Styela clava: one gene and its partner. The protein of the gene in region 1 binds, or shares a complex with, the protein of each later gene. Links are inferred from orthologs where the notes say so. Each region holds a gene or a part of one and is shown on either strand. Other genes may lie near its edges.

Region 1 (8,268 bases):
TCTACGTGCCTACGTCCTATTATCGCATTATGTCGCAGACAATGTAATACGTGACGCGCTCGTCGGTTGGTCAGATTATAATTTCAAATTACGACTTTCGTTTGGGGCGATGAATTTCTTAGAGCGTGTATGGCCCCGGTATAGATATTAGGCTTTCCACAAAATTTGATCAAAGCAGGGTTGCGCACTCACTCAAAAATAAAAGAGACTCATCTCTGTGCATAGTTACAGATTCTCACTCTGCAGTAAAGAAGACTCATCTCTGAGCGAACTCTCTCTTGCGCACTCACTCAGAAGTAAAAGAGACTCTTCTCTAATCAAAGTTACAGGCACACACTCAGGAGTAAAAAAGACTCATCTCTGGGCAAAGTTACGGGCACTCACTCAGAAGTAATGACGTCTTATCTCTGAGCAAAGTTACTGGCACTCAGAAGTAAAGAAAACTCATCTCTGAGCATTGTTACGGACACTCAGGGTATGAAAGGAGATTCATCTCTAAGCAAAGTCTCGCGCACTCACTCAGAAGTAAAGGAGATTGATGTCTGAGTGAAGTTACGGATGCTCACTCTAAAGTAAAAAAGAAACATACAAGGAAACTGGTGCGGTTCGCTTATAGAGCAGTATTCTTCAAACTCGTTGCAAGCAATGCTCGAGTGTGTATTATTAAATGACTTCGGGATGCCAACAAAATTCCGGGCAAATGTTAAATGAATTGTAACAGATGCCATAGGAAAATGTAAACAAGATGTCATATTTAGGTGTTCCCATGAAATATAAAAACAACAACATGTGAAATATCGTCCTCACAGGACTCAGGAAAATAGCCCAATGACAAGTTTTAATGGCCATCGAACATTATACGCTATGTTCCCTTCCAGCCTTTGAACAAATTGATGAACGTATTCGAATCGGGTAGTAGATTATTCGAATCGGTGGAGACGAAAATTTCGAATCGCCGCCATCTTGTTTTCCTTTTGTACGGCAAATGTCGAGATGAATCCTTCAATTTTTCTAGAAGATATTATTTTACAATGTAATTCTGACACGAGAAAATTTTCTTTTTAGTAAGTTATTGATGAAACATGTTTCTTATTGTGCGTGAACGCTCAGCGAACTATCTGAGTTATGGTTTCTGTGATGTCACAAACAATCACATATCTTAACTTATGAGATAACAATGGTGTGGCGTGAACAGTCTCTCGCCGAGAAAGTAAATATTATTTTATTTACACGCGGAAAAATTATTTGCTTTGTGATAGTTTGTTGCTGGGGAATACTCTAGTGTTGTGTACATCGCTAACCATGGTCTTGTCACTTTAGAAATTGTCATTTATATACCATAGTCTGGAAGATATATTTGGCGTCAACAACCCTTCTCGCAATGCGGACGGGTTTGACATGTCGCCTACCGACTGTCAAAAAAATAATCTAACCAAATCAATAACGTAAATCAGGGGTGTGCAACCTGCAGCCCACAAAGGAAAATTGTGCGGCCCGCAGAGAGGTGGCAATTTCGAATGATGTTCGGCCAGCGAAACAAGTTTTTAATTTGGTTTAATCTGGTACGCGTAAGAACTTCCTATCCGTTTGGCGTTGCAAAGCCTATACCTGATGCATATGAAGCTCAATGCTCTAACACAAGAGTGGGCAAGGTTTTTGGACCAGGGACCAGACCCACCTAGACTGGCGGGCCATGTAAGTGTGACGTAAAAGTAACATTTTATAAATAATATTTACAAAAGCAAAAGTGGAAAACAATAAGCTTCGTGTCAAAACTAAATCTGAACGCAATCTCAACAAATTCCCTGAACTATTTTTCAGCTAAAACATCAAAAGTTGATTTTAGTTTGGCTGTGGCAGCATCAGGCGGGCCAGATCAAATTACCCAATTTGGTCTGGATCTGGATTTTACCCGCGAGCCGTAGTTTGCTCATTTTAGCGCTAACAGCTGGCTCGACAACTTTTATGCATGTAACCACTAGAAAGCCCATGTTAAATAGAGATGCGGCCCGCAGTTTGCCCAGTTATTCGTATTTGGCCGGCCTGTAAAAGTTGCACACCTCTGACATGAATATATACAAGAAAAAATATGCAGGTTGGCCCTTTCGACACCCGATGTGGACAGGTAATCGGACGAGAGGCCGTGTATCGTCATATTTATTGCGCCGTATTAAATTTCCCTTTTGATCGGGAATAAATGAAAATCCTACTGCAGTTATCCGGTGACCGTACATTTGAACTCGTACTTTTGCACCCGTATATCCGCGGGTTCAATCTATATTCGGGTGCTAAAACCCATGGGTTAGGGTTAGTATGGATTTAAATATCCGTAAAAAAAATTCATAGGTGCAATAGCATGCAGGTGCACTTGTCGTGGGTTCAAATTACGGGTTCAAATGTACGTGGGTTCAAATGTAATGGAACCCAGTTATCCACTTAGCCGATATCGATCTTGCCGATACTCGTGAATGCATTGTGCCATTCGACAGTGGTTCCAATCTTTTTGGTGGAACGGAACCAGAAACATTCCAGAAGCTCGAGGAACCCGTATGCGATAGTTTAGTTGTCTTTTACTGTCTCAGTTGTATAAACTAAGAATAATTATGAACGCAAAACTAATACTAGCAAAAATGGTTATTTAATTGTAATAAATTTAATGTTAGTGGAAACTATTAGATATTGCAATAAATTTAAACAATATGTTTAGTTTAAACAATATATTTAAACAAAATCAATGTAGACTCTCAGATTTAGATGGGAAATGGCGGATTAGTGTCCTTGACCAGTAGTTTCCAACCTTTGACCCCCTTTTTATCATTCCAGAGGTATTCATAGTGTTAATTTTGATTGATATATTCCACAACCCGCCATGTTCAAACAATTCATGCTCAACAAGGTCAAAACACATCCTGTGAAATAACCTTATCAAGCAATAAAACTAGGAAAAATGAGAAGTAATAATTTAACTGAAACATAAAAAAAAAACGGAATTTACGTTTCCGAAGTAAACATTTGTATCCCAAGGTTTTTTTTAGATCAGAAGACGCAAGATTCCGGATTAAATATATATATATATATTTAAAACTGCAACCCGACACTTTAAATAGCAGGAGCAGCAGAAGTTGTGCTGTTTTTTTAGTTTTTAGAGCAGTGTTTTCCAAACTTTTACACCGCGGACCCCTATTTATCAATCTTAGTTTTGACGGACCCACACCTTATACCGTATCAATTTCTGTTCCTAACCAGCGAGGAAGGACAATGTTCTATTTACAACACGATACAAACGACATATGATGGATGAGGTTGCTTTTCTCTGCACAATTTTCGGAGTAATTTGTGGCACACAAACTAGGTCCGACTCTATGGCAAGTCTAGAATCTGTAGTTTGCTATCGTATTGGTAAGAGCTGAGAATGATGTCTCGCACATGCAGGTCGTTGCAAAGCGCAGCAAGAAATAATCGTCCACAACGATAAATTAGAAAGATACAATGACATTTTGATTGAAATCAATCATTAAAGTTCGATCCGTATCTTTTTAAATCGTTGCGGGCCCCCTGTGCAGTCATCACGGATCCCCAGGGGTCCACGGACACCAGTTTGGGAAACCTTGTTTTAGGGTAATGTAATTCCTACTATCACAACACAATTATTTCCATGTTATAGCGACGCAGTTGTGACCTGTATTTCACGGACACACTTTTGCGAATGCCTTCCACTCATTATCCAGATCTGGTCAAGCTTATACAATGACTTCAACTAGAAATGGGTAATTAGATCTTTTAAATTTACTGGACCACAGGTGACAGTTTTCCATTGCGGAATTTAGAGTCCTATAATTAATCTCGCTCTCAATGGTGAGCAATCGGTGCGTATGACACCAATCCGAGCCGCAAAACCGATTATTTGCTTATTTTATCATGCTTTCTGTTGTTCACTATGTTAAGATAGAATTTACATAGTTATCCTGGCGAGAGGAAAGCCGATGGGTCGGCTTAATCATATTGCTAACCACGGCCTCTCGTCCGTTTACCAGTCCATGTCGGGTATGGGATTTGCTAACCAATTATGTGTTGTCAAAACATTAACTTGTGAGGGCCGCGTTTCGCCATTCGATTGAGTCGCTTTATGGGCTTTTCTTTCACTCAAAATAAACAACAATTGTACAACAACTTCAATTGTTTGAAAATACATATATGTTGTAAATACCGTCCACAATTCAAATCCACTAAAGTCGTATGATGTAATATGGACTCCCTGCACTCGTCGTTCGGCCACGGACATATTACGTCATATTATTCGACTAATCTGTCATTATCCGTTGAAAAATCGATGTAAAAATCTATAAAATATTATTCAAAATGCATTTAAACAAATGAGAAGGCTTAGAAACTGTCGGAAGATCTGAAAATTATCGATTTATTTCATTACGCAACACGACTCACTTTGACCCCCACGCTTCCGACACATCTCAGGGGTCAAATGAAAGTTGCCAAATGTGCGCTGCGGTGTTTCTAATGCGAGATTACGAAATCAAATTTGCATCAATAAGATAGGATTTTTATTTTATTTATCCTCGTAGAGAGGAAAGACGATAGGACGGTGTGCTCATATTACGAATCTCTTGCCAGATTAGCAGAGTACGTGTTGATGTTGCCTGGTGGCCTATGCTACGGCTGTATGGCAATACTGCAATGGGTGACCATGTTGCATGTAAACTATTCGACATTGTTGACGAAATAAAATACTACTACTACCGGTACATATTAGTTCCAGTTATTAGTACAGTAGATGCATGGTCTTGGAACATTCATAGCGCTATCATGCCGCCAGTGGCAGAGAATGAAATTATACCGGTACGGTATAGTCATATCTGAATGTCACCACAGGCAGTAAAAAATGTAGAATTCTTGTAATATACCTAATTCTAATTCTGTAATCACTGAATTAGACTGAAACTGCAATATGCACCGTACTTTACTGTCATTCTGTCATTACTTTTACTTATTGAATAATATTGGATTTTGCAATATTGTACTAATCTTTCAAAATCCAACAAAAAAGGCCGTTAATTTATTGAACTTTGCCGAAGTGACTCGAGTCGCCTAAATAAAATGACTCAAACCTAACTTTGATCTAACTTTGCATTTAAAATATTTTTTGCAGACAATTAACTTCCAATCATGTATAGATGTGGTAGGACGTGCAATCAAGCACGAATTTTCGTCAGAAATTTAAAGAAAAATGAGGAAACATCACAAAATATATGTAAGTAGTTCGTTTTTGGTTTTAAAGTGTTTTGGGATTAGGTGTCACAATTTAAGCATAGCTGAAGCAGACATTGAGAATATTTTTATGCTGCGTCAAGTCCAAGCCATTTCAAAACAACTCCAGGGTGAAAGCAAATGGTTGTTCATAAAATTTATATTATTTATGTATGATTGTAGATTTCGCACATTTTGTCATATTTGCAAATTAATTTTAGCAGTAATTCCAATTGATTTGGTCATTAAATCCTTTGCACAAATATCCATATTTTATAAATGCATAATTTGTTGATTTTACCAGATTTGATCATTTTTTAGGTCCAAGCCCTGGCAGGCTGGGACACATTCAAAAGTTTTCTCGCGATGCATGGTTGGGAACGCCCCACTGCGCATGATTCTTGTGTCTCGTATTATTTTAGACCAGAAAAATGAGACCACTGATGGGGAAACAGAGGGCCCAGGAATTTTCAAAGCAGGGTTCTGAAATAGATTGTAACAGCCAGCAGGCCCAACTCTCTTGAGGGTCTGAAAAGCGTTTCAAACTATGAAAAATTGTTATGTAAGATACAGAAAAATGCCTTTTTTTACATTCAAGAGGTGAGGTTTCAACCCTCATTCCCCTCCCCCATTATTGAAACACTGATTTCTACACAGTTGGGAACACTGTCTTAAAGACTATTTCATTTTTTCAGTTTCCAGAACATACAGATTCACTCGGAAAGAGCCGGCAAATCGTCTACAGCTTTACTCCCATCGTTCATTAGATCTTCCGGCTCATATCGGCTCGCTACTATGTATCGGGACTGGAATGATATTTTTTGGAGCTGTAAGTGGATTTTTATAGATTAAAAACTAGGTCATGAGCACAAAGTGCATAGGATTACTCTGAACAAGGCTCTGTGTAAAGAGCTAATAGAAATTGGAACAATGGTTCTCGAAGTCGCTAGGCCGGGGGTCTGAATTAGAAGCAGAAGGATCTTAGCGTGCCAGGAGAGGGAAGCGCCTGCAAGGGGAACAAGGCGCTTAAACTGGGATAATGATCTAACGGTTGCCGGTATCTAAAACACCAAAATGTAAAAAACATATGAAGTGTTTAACTTAAGTTCGACGGGCCATATTGGATCTACCACGAGACGTAATTGACCCACTGGCCGTGGTTTGGGAACCACTGGTTCAGAGTTACCTGAATCATTCCAATTTCTATTCGAGATTATTTATATTCGGTATTCATAATTCTACATTTTGATTTTGGAATAACTTCATTTGAGAATTGAATTGCCTTTTTGAGCTTTTGAAATCTCGCGCTATTATTGAGAGCCTCTATTTACTTTGTTCTGAAAATTAAAAACAGCGGAGCAGTCAAATCACTGCCCATTTTATATGTTTCTGTTAAACGTGATTACGTGAACCAATTCAGAATATATTCGATATATTATAAATTCAAACATGCCCTTTTATAACAGAGGTTCCCAAACCGCAGCCCATGGGCCAATCATGGCCCGCGTAACGATTCATTACGGTCTGACGAATTTAAGTGAAATGGTTTAACACTTGTTTTTTCCTTTTTGTTTTCGTAATACCACAAATTGTTATGTCATTATCACAGTTTAATTACATGTATATTTGTAACAATTCGATTTTACCGATATCTAAATTATATATACCAGAACCTCTGCGGGCCGCGAATATCCTTTCGCTTCTAATTTCGGCCCCGATCATTCAACTTTGGAAACCACTGTTTTGGAATGTAATTAAAATAGAGAATTATCTTATGCTGGTAACAGATAGCATACTTTACATTACAGGCTGCTTTCCAATGTTCCAGTGAAGCTAAAGCTGCAGAAAAACAAGAAGATGATGAAGAAGCCCAAACTGAAGAAGGTGAATTCCCAGATATACCAAAATATAATTAAGTTATTTAGATCAGGGCTTCGCAAATTTTCAAGCTCGTGACCCCTTCTAATATATTAAAATATTCTGCCTACTCTGTTACGTTGGCATTGTTGTGTAGGCTGCGTGCCTCTTCTCCGATCCTATGTATTCTCCCGAAATCGTGATAATTATGTTTTGCACTATTTTTAATAATTGTGTTTCGAATCAAAATTAAAATAGATATTGACTCTATGTGAAATTGGTAAACTTTTTGCGATCCCTAAAATTGATTGCGCGACCCCCAGTTTGAGAGGCTCTGATTTATACCAAATTGAATAGGCTGACCCTGGAGTGCATAATAAACTCCTTATTGCTGTATCCAGGATAATATTAAACTTCATGGTACGGCTACACAGTCAGGTGTCCAATTCCAACGCAGAGTTATTTCAACGTTGACCGTTCAACGTTGGGATTCTACTGTAAATTTTTCCCCGACTTCTATGTCCTGGATTGATATATGCCAAACTCAGGCTCATAACATCCTTCTAATTCTCTATTTTCCTAGATCAAACGCCCCTGGATTATCAGTGTTTTGCAACTTATAAGTCGCGACCCAAAACTGGGTCGTTTGAAATTTTGAAAATAATATCCTAACTTTTATCCAGAGCCTGTTCTTCCAGAGATTCCAGAATCAACACAATATTTATTAATCGGAGGAGGAACAGCATCACACTCAGCCATGAGGGCGATTAAGAAGAGAGATCCAACTGCAAAGGTATGTACAATGGTACTCCTGTTGTATGCGAACCAAGATGGCAGACATCGGAACGTAGTACGTGTACCATGTTAGAGTTAGGCCATAATTCCAGGTACGCATACTACGGGAGTCACTTGGCAAGTCCCTGAACTCGTATTAATAGAACTAAGATATAGAAAATTAGAATAACATTTAGGTTTAGGCAATACCCTTACCTGGACCACATACTACGTTCCGGTGTCCGCCATCTTGGTTCGCATTCTACGGCTACGGGAGTACCTGTTCAATGATGTTTGTTCTGACTCAAAAAAAGCAGATACTCTTGCTACTGTTCTGGGATCTATAGTAGTGGGTGTTGTCATTGTCATATACAC
Region 2 (5,859 bases), on another chromosome or scaffold:
ACCGCCATTATGCTCACACCCGATCCAATATTGCAGACGAGGTAAGGATAAGGATTTCGGAAATTGTATGGTTCTTTTTTCAGTCCGCCAGGGTCTAGGGGTTGTGCAAGAGAAAAACATTCAGATCTTCCATTGACTTCTGTATTGTGGTCGATAAAATGAATTCCTGTCGAAAACAGTAAAATAGTTACTTATTAACAAAGTATTTACAGTTGTATTTAAAGAGCAATTAATTCTGATATCCCAATCTAGAGTAACTATGAACCATTGAAGTTGCATAAAAGCAAATTTATTTATTTAGCACAAATATAACCGACGGTTATCCACAAATCATTTATGACATTAAACTAATATGCATTATGAAAAAACACAGTAAAAACATGCCACAACAGCAAAAAATATTAGTTAGTCATTCACTATTTATTAAGGGCTTGAAAAAATTTTGAAAATATCTAAATGATATTTGAATTTTTGCTTAGTTACAGTATTTTCTTAAAATTTTGGCCCTTTGGCAAAATAACAATGTCAAATACTTGAAAAATTTGACATATCTTGTGAATTCACATCGTATTTTAGTATGTTATTTATTGAACTTATTAATATTATGAAATTCAAATTTGAAAGCTGAATTCCATGATATGAAATCAACAAACTCCTATGTATTGAATTTGACTAAAATGAATAATACGACAATATTAAATTTTACCACGAATGAAAGAATCCTCACAATGCAACATTGAACTTGTTTATAAAAGCTTTCGAGGCTTATTAAAACAAACAAAAATCATCTCATAAGGATTGACTTGCAGTATACATCCTGATCGATCAGAACAAAAACATAAGAGACAGATGTACAGGCACGGAACTCTTTTCTTGGAGCATAACACATATTAAGGCTCTTAATCAATACTTGAAACTACATAATATTCTTAGGTGCATATAGTAAAAGATAGTACCGGTAATATAACTGGTGTCGTGCTGCAATCATAGTTGGAATGATGTATGTTCTTCATAATTTCATTGGTATTAGTGGTATGTTGGCAAAAGTATACCTTAACTAAGGAACTCCAACTGTATATTACATACAATGGATGAAAAAAAAATCTGGCTATTCTCAATATCAAATTATAAACTGTCATACACGCAAGTGAAAACGTACTAATTAAAATTGAAATATTTCCGCAAAAAATTGAAAATATCAATTGGTATATTTGGTCACAATATGAGAACAAAATATGAGACAAAGAAGAAAGACAACAATTTACATAATATGCGAGTTTATTCCATTCTAGCAAACAAACATATCTTATTAATAAGCTATTTCAACATGATGACGTCGGTATTATTAAAATATGTCAGTTTTATCAATAAGCTATTTGCAAAAATCTAACTTCGTTAATTGAAACCATAATTGCTACCACAAAAAGTTTATAAAAATCTTGATTTTTGTCAAGTTCCATAATACACTAAGACATTCCTGCAAAACACAAATGCCCGCTTACCTCAACTGTAGCTAGGCACATAATTAAACTATCTTTGGAAATATTTAGGGGTTCTCTACAAAGTTGCAATGTGCTATCTTTACAAATTTTTAATCTTTTATTTGGTTCGTCGTTCGTGGCATATCAACATTAACTTAGATCTAGGGTGTATTTAAAGATATTTGATTATTATTAACTTCTTCAATATAGCAACTACCATATATGATGAGTAGCCATTGAAGGGTACTTGTGGAAAAATTTTCAATTGACAGACTGAAGGGCAATTTGGGGAATTTCTAGTCTAAGAGCTAGGCTCTTGTTTCGAGGAACTTTCATGTAGGTTTCTCGTCTTTATTGAGTTGATAAAAATAGCAACGCATTAATTAAGTTTAAGAGTTGTAATTAATTTAGCCCATTGAATCATAAATTTTTGATTGTGCTACAAGAGCTGATGCGACAACGACAAGATTAGGTTACAAGAATCACATTCATTTTATTTTAGAGTGTGTTCAACATAATGTGTAATATGTCACCAAAATAGAATAAAATATAAATACTTGAAAGAGATGAGAAAAAAATTTAAAATCAAACCTCGTTAAAACTACCAGAATTAGTAAACAAAAAAAATTTTAATTACCCTTTATCAGACATTGAAATTCGTCCAACTTGTTGAGTCTTAGATTAATCTCCTTCAAAAATTTTTCTTCAAATTTATAAGCTCCTCCTCCAGTTGCATGACATATATTATGCATGGTTGAAAATTCTTTCTCTTTGACCATTCGAATAAAACTATCCATCCTGTGTGTTGGAAATCGAAGAAAGTGCATGTTGCCAACATAACCGTTGAATTTCAATCCCTGAAAAAGATCAAACTGTTAGAGAACCAGGGACATTGTTTGATTATTCTTCCATGGTAAAAGTAAAACTATAAACAGGGGGCACAAAATCAATGGAAAATTTAAAAAAGTACGGTAGTAAACATTTTTGATTTTAAAAAAACTTAAAATATTTTTAAATTTAAATTTAACCTCTGCCGTTCACATAACAAATAAACTGAGTTTTACCTCGTGCTGTAAAAAAGACTATTACGGTAATAATCAAAACAATGTTTATCTCAAACATTCTACAAATTCAATTCCTATTAATTCACAATAGCTTGTTATTAATGGTGACATCTCAAGATTGCGCTTCCTTTTAGTTCATTGCGCACTGACGGTTTGCCAATTTGTATCAATATGAATACCAAGATTGTCTCGTAAATGAGGGGTTTGCACTGACTGTTATTATTGATGTCTTTTAACCTAGGGGCTATCCTTGAAACCGGAGAACTGTGTTGATTTTATAACTTAAATGATTTTTTATACAGCTATATTAACAAAGCAACAAAAAACCATGAACCTTGATTTCTAAATGAGCATCCCGCACTCCAGTTTGTCCATACGCAATACTCGATAACAAGGTTTCACGAATTACTTTCAAAGATTCTTCTTCATCTCGTACTTCTTGTTTCGTCATTGAAGTTGGTTCAAAATAAACGAGTTTAACCAGAGTACCTCCTATATCAATCCCATACCAAGGAAATGGTTGACGTCCTTGTGGTGAATTTGTGGCATCGCTTGTAGCCATTTTTATATAAATAATATAAAATACTAAGGAATAAATAGCAATGTTAAGCAACTTCAAGACCTTATAGATACCTCTATTCTATGTTCGACTCTTTTTTCTCAGTATGATTTAATGTTAGACTCCGTCTTAGGCTGTTAGGTGATGCTGTTCGATAACCATCACTGGTTCATTGCGTCTCATTTCACACTGAAATGCATTTCTCTTATCTTCTTAATTATGTTTGTACAATGTGTGCTTTCGGCATGTGATAAAATAAACTACTGACCTCAGCCGCTGTAAGTTGTGCATCATTCAACATATCAAGGGGTGATACAGTGATACCGTACCTTATTAATGCCAATATCCAAATTTAGTACATGCATTCATAGCATCACAGACAGGGCGAATGCTGCAATATCAATCAAGCCAGCCTACTTTGATACTAAATTTTATATAGCCTAGTTATAGTTTTAATTGGACATTTCATAGGCTACATTCAGAACCACATTCAATTTGATCTAAATTTAAGAGGGACAAATTCCACACCACCAAAGTATTCATTGCATTTTCATTATTCGAAGCCCTCTAATAACATTGGTTACCGTACTAACAATACAGCAATTTAAATCCACGATCAAATTGAATAGATCATTTTATATGTTAGTACCCGGTACTACCGTACACAGTACACACAAGTCACACAATCTCGGAGCGATAAAAATAATACAAAAATGCAAGATCGTTTAAAAATCAACGTATTCTGAAATAATAAATATGCCCAGTCTTTCAATGGCAATGCAGTAATAATGCAATTTCCATTAGTAACATTAACGAAAGAACGCGATACCGGCGTTGTCGAACGCGAATTGAATGGTGATTTTGTTTTGGTTGGATTTTGGGAAACGCGGTCCGCGCTTTGCTTGCGCATCATGACTCATGAGGTACGAATTATTGCTCTCTGTCGGAAGCTAGAGGCTGTTTGAAATGATGCATATGGCTAATTTTCGTACTTTAATCTGTGTGACAAAATTACCCAAGAAACATTTTAATTACCACACTTTACTGTAATTCGATTTAATTGTATATGTCTTTTATAAATATTGTGAAATTTTAATTTTATACCCTGTCTAAATAACCACTGGGGCATATCGGTGACTGCAAACAGTGAAAGTCACGCTGGTCTGGCAGGTGCTCCGGTTTAGAAGTTAGGGCGCTTGGATGCTGATAAAAGAAATGTCCTACTGCCGTAAAGAAGGTTAGTTTCAGTTATTTCATCTAAAAGCTATTCTCACTCGCATGGAATATGACTATAAAATGTTTTGTTTGTTCAGGGAAAGACATAATAATATTCGCGACAGAGGACGATTTGTCCAGTCCCAGTACGGTCACACTTCTCCCGGATAATCCCAGCGATGTAGATACCAGCCATGAAGGTTAGCAATGCCTTTTTTATTATTTGAATGCTCGAATATACGAGTATAGGTCGTAAATCAAATGTTATAAGCAATTTATCCATGGGATTTGAGCTTGACGCATATTAATTACATTATTTCTATAAGATTCAAACGGTGGATACCCCTACTGCCCTATACTTAAAATTTGTACCCGTCTCAAACCACATTATTAATGTCCTCATCAAGTAGTGGCTATATTTTTCATGTTTAATTTTCTTGATATTGCATATGACTTGATTGAAGAATTGTTACGAATGCATATCTTTTTGACTTTACAATTCCTGTACTTATTTCTGGCTGCCTAATATCAAGGCCACACACCATGATTTTCCATATAGTTTCGTCGTATTTCATTTGCCTTGTGGTATGGGTATGAAATCGTATTGTAAAATTATTGACAATATTTCATTATTCCTAGGCGCAATACTTCCGAATGGAGATATAAACTGGGATTGTCCATGTCTTGGAAATCTACCAAATGGACCTTGTGGCCCCTCATTTCGTGAAGCTTTCACATGTTGGGTGGAAAATCGAGACGACCAAGATTCTTTTGCGGAAAAATGTTTTGATAACTTTTCTAAATGGGAAGATTGTTTATCAGAAAATAGAGACATTTATAAACCATCATCTTCAAAGCAAAATGACAATGACGATAATTTAAATATTGAAGCTAATGCTTTAAATGAGACTGAAATTGAGAACTCAAATGGTTCAGAAACGGTTAATATGAAGACCGAAAACAGACCTGCTATTGCTGCTGCATATATCGGAGATTCTAAAGAAAAATGAGTTTGTTTGCGAGGTTCTGTATTAAGACAAGTTTGATTGGTATTTTCTGGAATACTTTGTTACATTTTTTTACACGATTCCACAAGTGAGTGAATGCTTTCAAAGTGCAGTTTCCCCACTAAGGGCTGTTCTTATCTATTATTAAACATAACTGAATTGTGGCCGCTGGGTCCTAAGTGCTTTTCAGCGGTACTCTCACATGAACAAATGCTAGTCCAATCTTTTGCGACTACGGCTTTCTAACAAAATAATAAAGTCTCATTACCCAGTTGAAAGAAAATTATATATTTGAAAAACAACAAATTTTTAAGTGCTTAATTCTAGCCTAAAAACACCATGCGAAAAAATGATAAATAGAGTAGCATTAAAAGCAAGCAGCCTGGACTAGTAATTAATTATATAAGGTGTGCACTTAAGTGTTTATTTTGTGATTGGGGGGGGGGGGGGAGCATTTTATACTTCCCAGGCCGCTAGATGAAGGCAAAAAATTACTTTAAAACCAGATGCTTGCAATAGAGATAGTTATTACT

What was found.
Region 2: the proteins of apoptosis-inducing factor 1, mitochondrial-like (region 1) and mitochondrial intermembrane space import and assembly protein 40-like are in contact, whole or in part, in a cryo-EM structure (PDB 9GQZ), measured with the Homo sapiens proteins. The link is inferred for Styela clava from reciprocal best matches to the Homo sapiens genes AIFM1 and CHCHD4. Residues at the interface, in NP_004199.1 of Homo sapiens: Pro345, Tyr347, Ser500, Ser501, Leu502, Pro503, Thr504, Val505, Gly506, Val507, Phe508, Ala509, Lys510, Glu558, Asp559, Tyr560, Asn602, Ala605, Lys606, Phe608, Asn609, Ile610, His611; in NP_001091972.1 of Homo sapiens: Arg5, Glu7, Lys9, Asp10, Arg11, Ile12, Ile13, Phe14, Val15, Thr16, Lys17, His20, Thr22, Pro23.

The regions. Positions count from the first base shown.
Region 1 is NC_135263.1:617,470-625,737, forward strand, and holds the start of apoptosis-inducing factor 1, mitochondrial-like, read left to right. Parts: upstream 1-5,151; 5' UTR 5,152-5,181; coding exon 5,182-5,266; intron 5,267-5,957; coding exon 5,958-6,091; intron 6,092-7,070; coding exon 7,071-7,146; intron 7,147-7,802; coding exon 7,803-7,912; intron 7,913-8,268. UniProt on the Homo sapiens protein: Functions both as NADH oxidoreductase and as regulator of apoptosis.
Region 2 is NC_135258.1:10,889,586-10,895,444, forward strand, and holds mitochondrial intermembrane space import and assembly protein 40-like, read left to right. Parts: upstream 1-4,183; 5' UTR 4,184-4,304; coding exon 4,305-4,341; intron 4,342-4,417; coding exon 4,418-4,519; intron 4,520-4,958; coding exon 4,959-5,329; 3' UTR 5,330-5,342; downstream 5,343-5,859. Other genes in the region: pantothenate kinase 3-like, read right to left, coding at 1-166, 2,119-2,338, 2,880-3,107.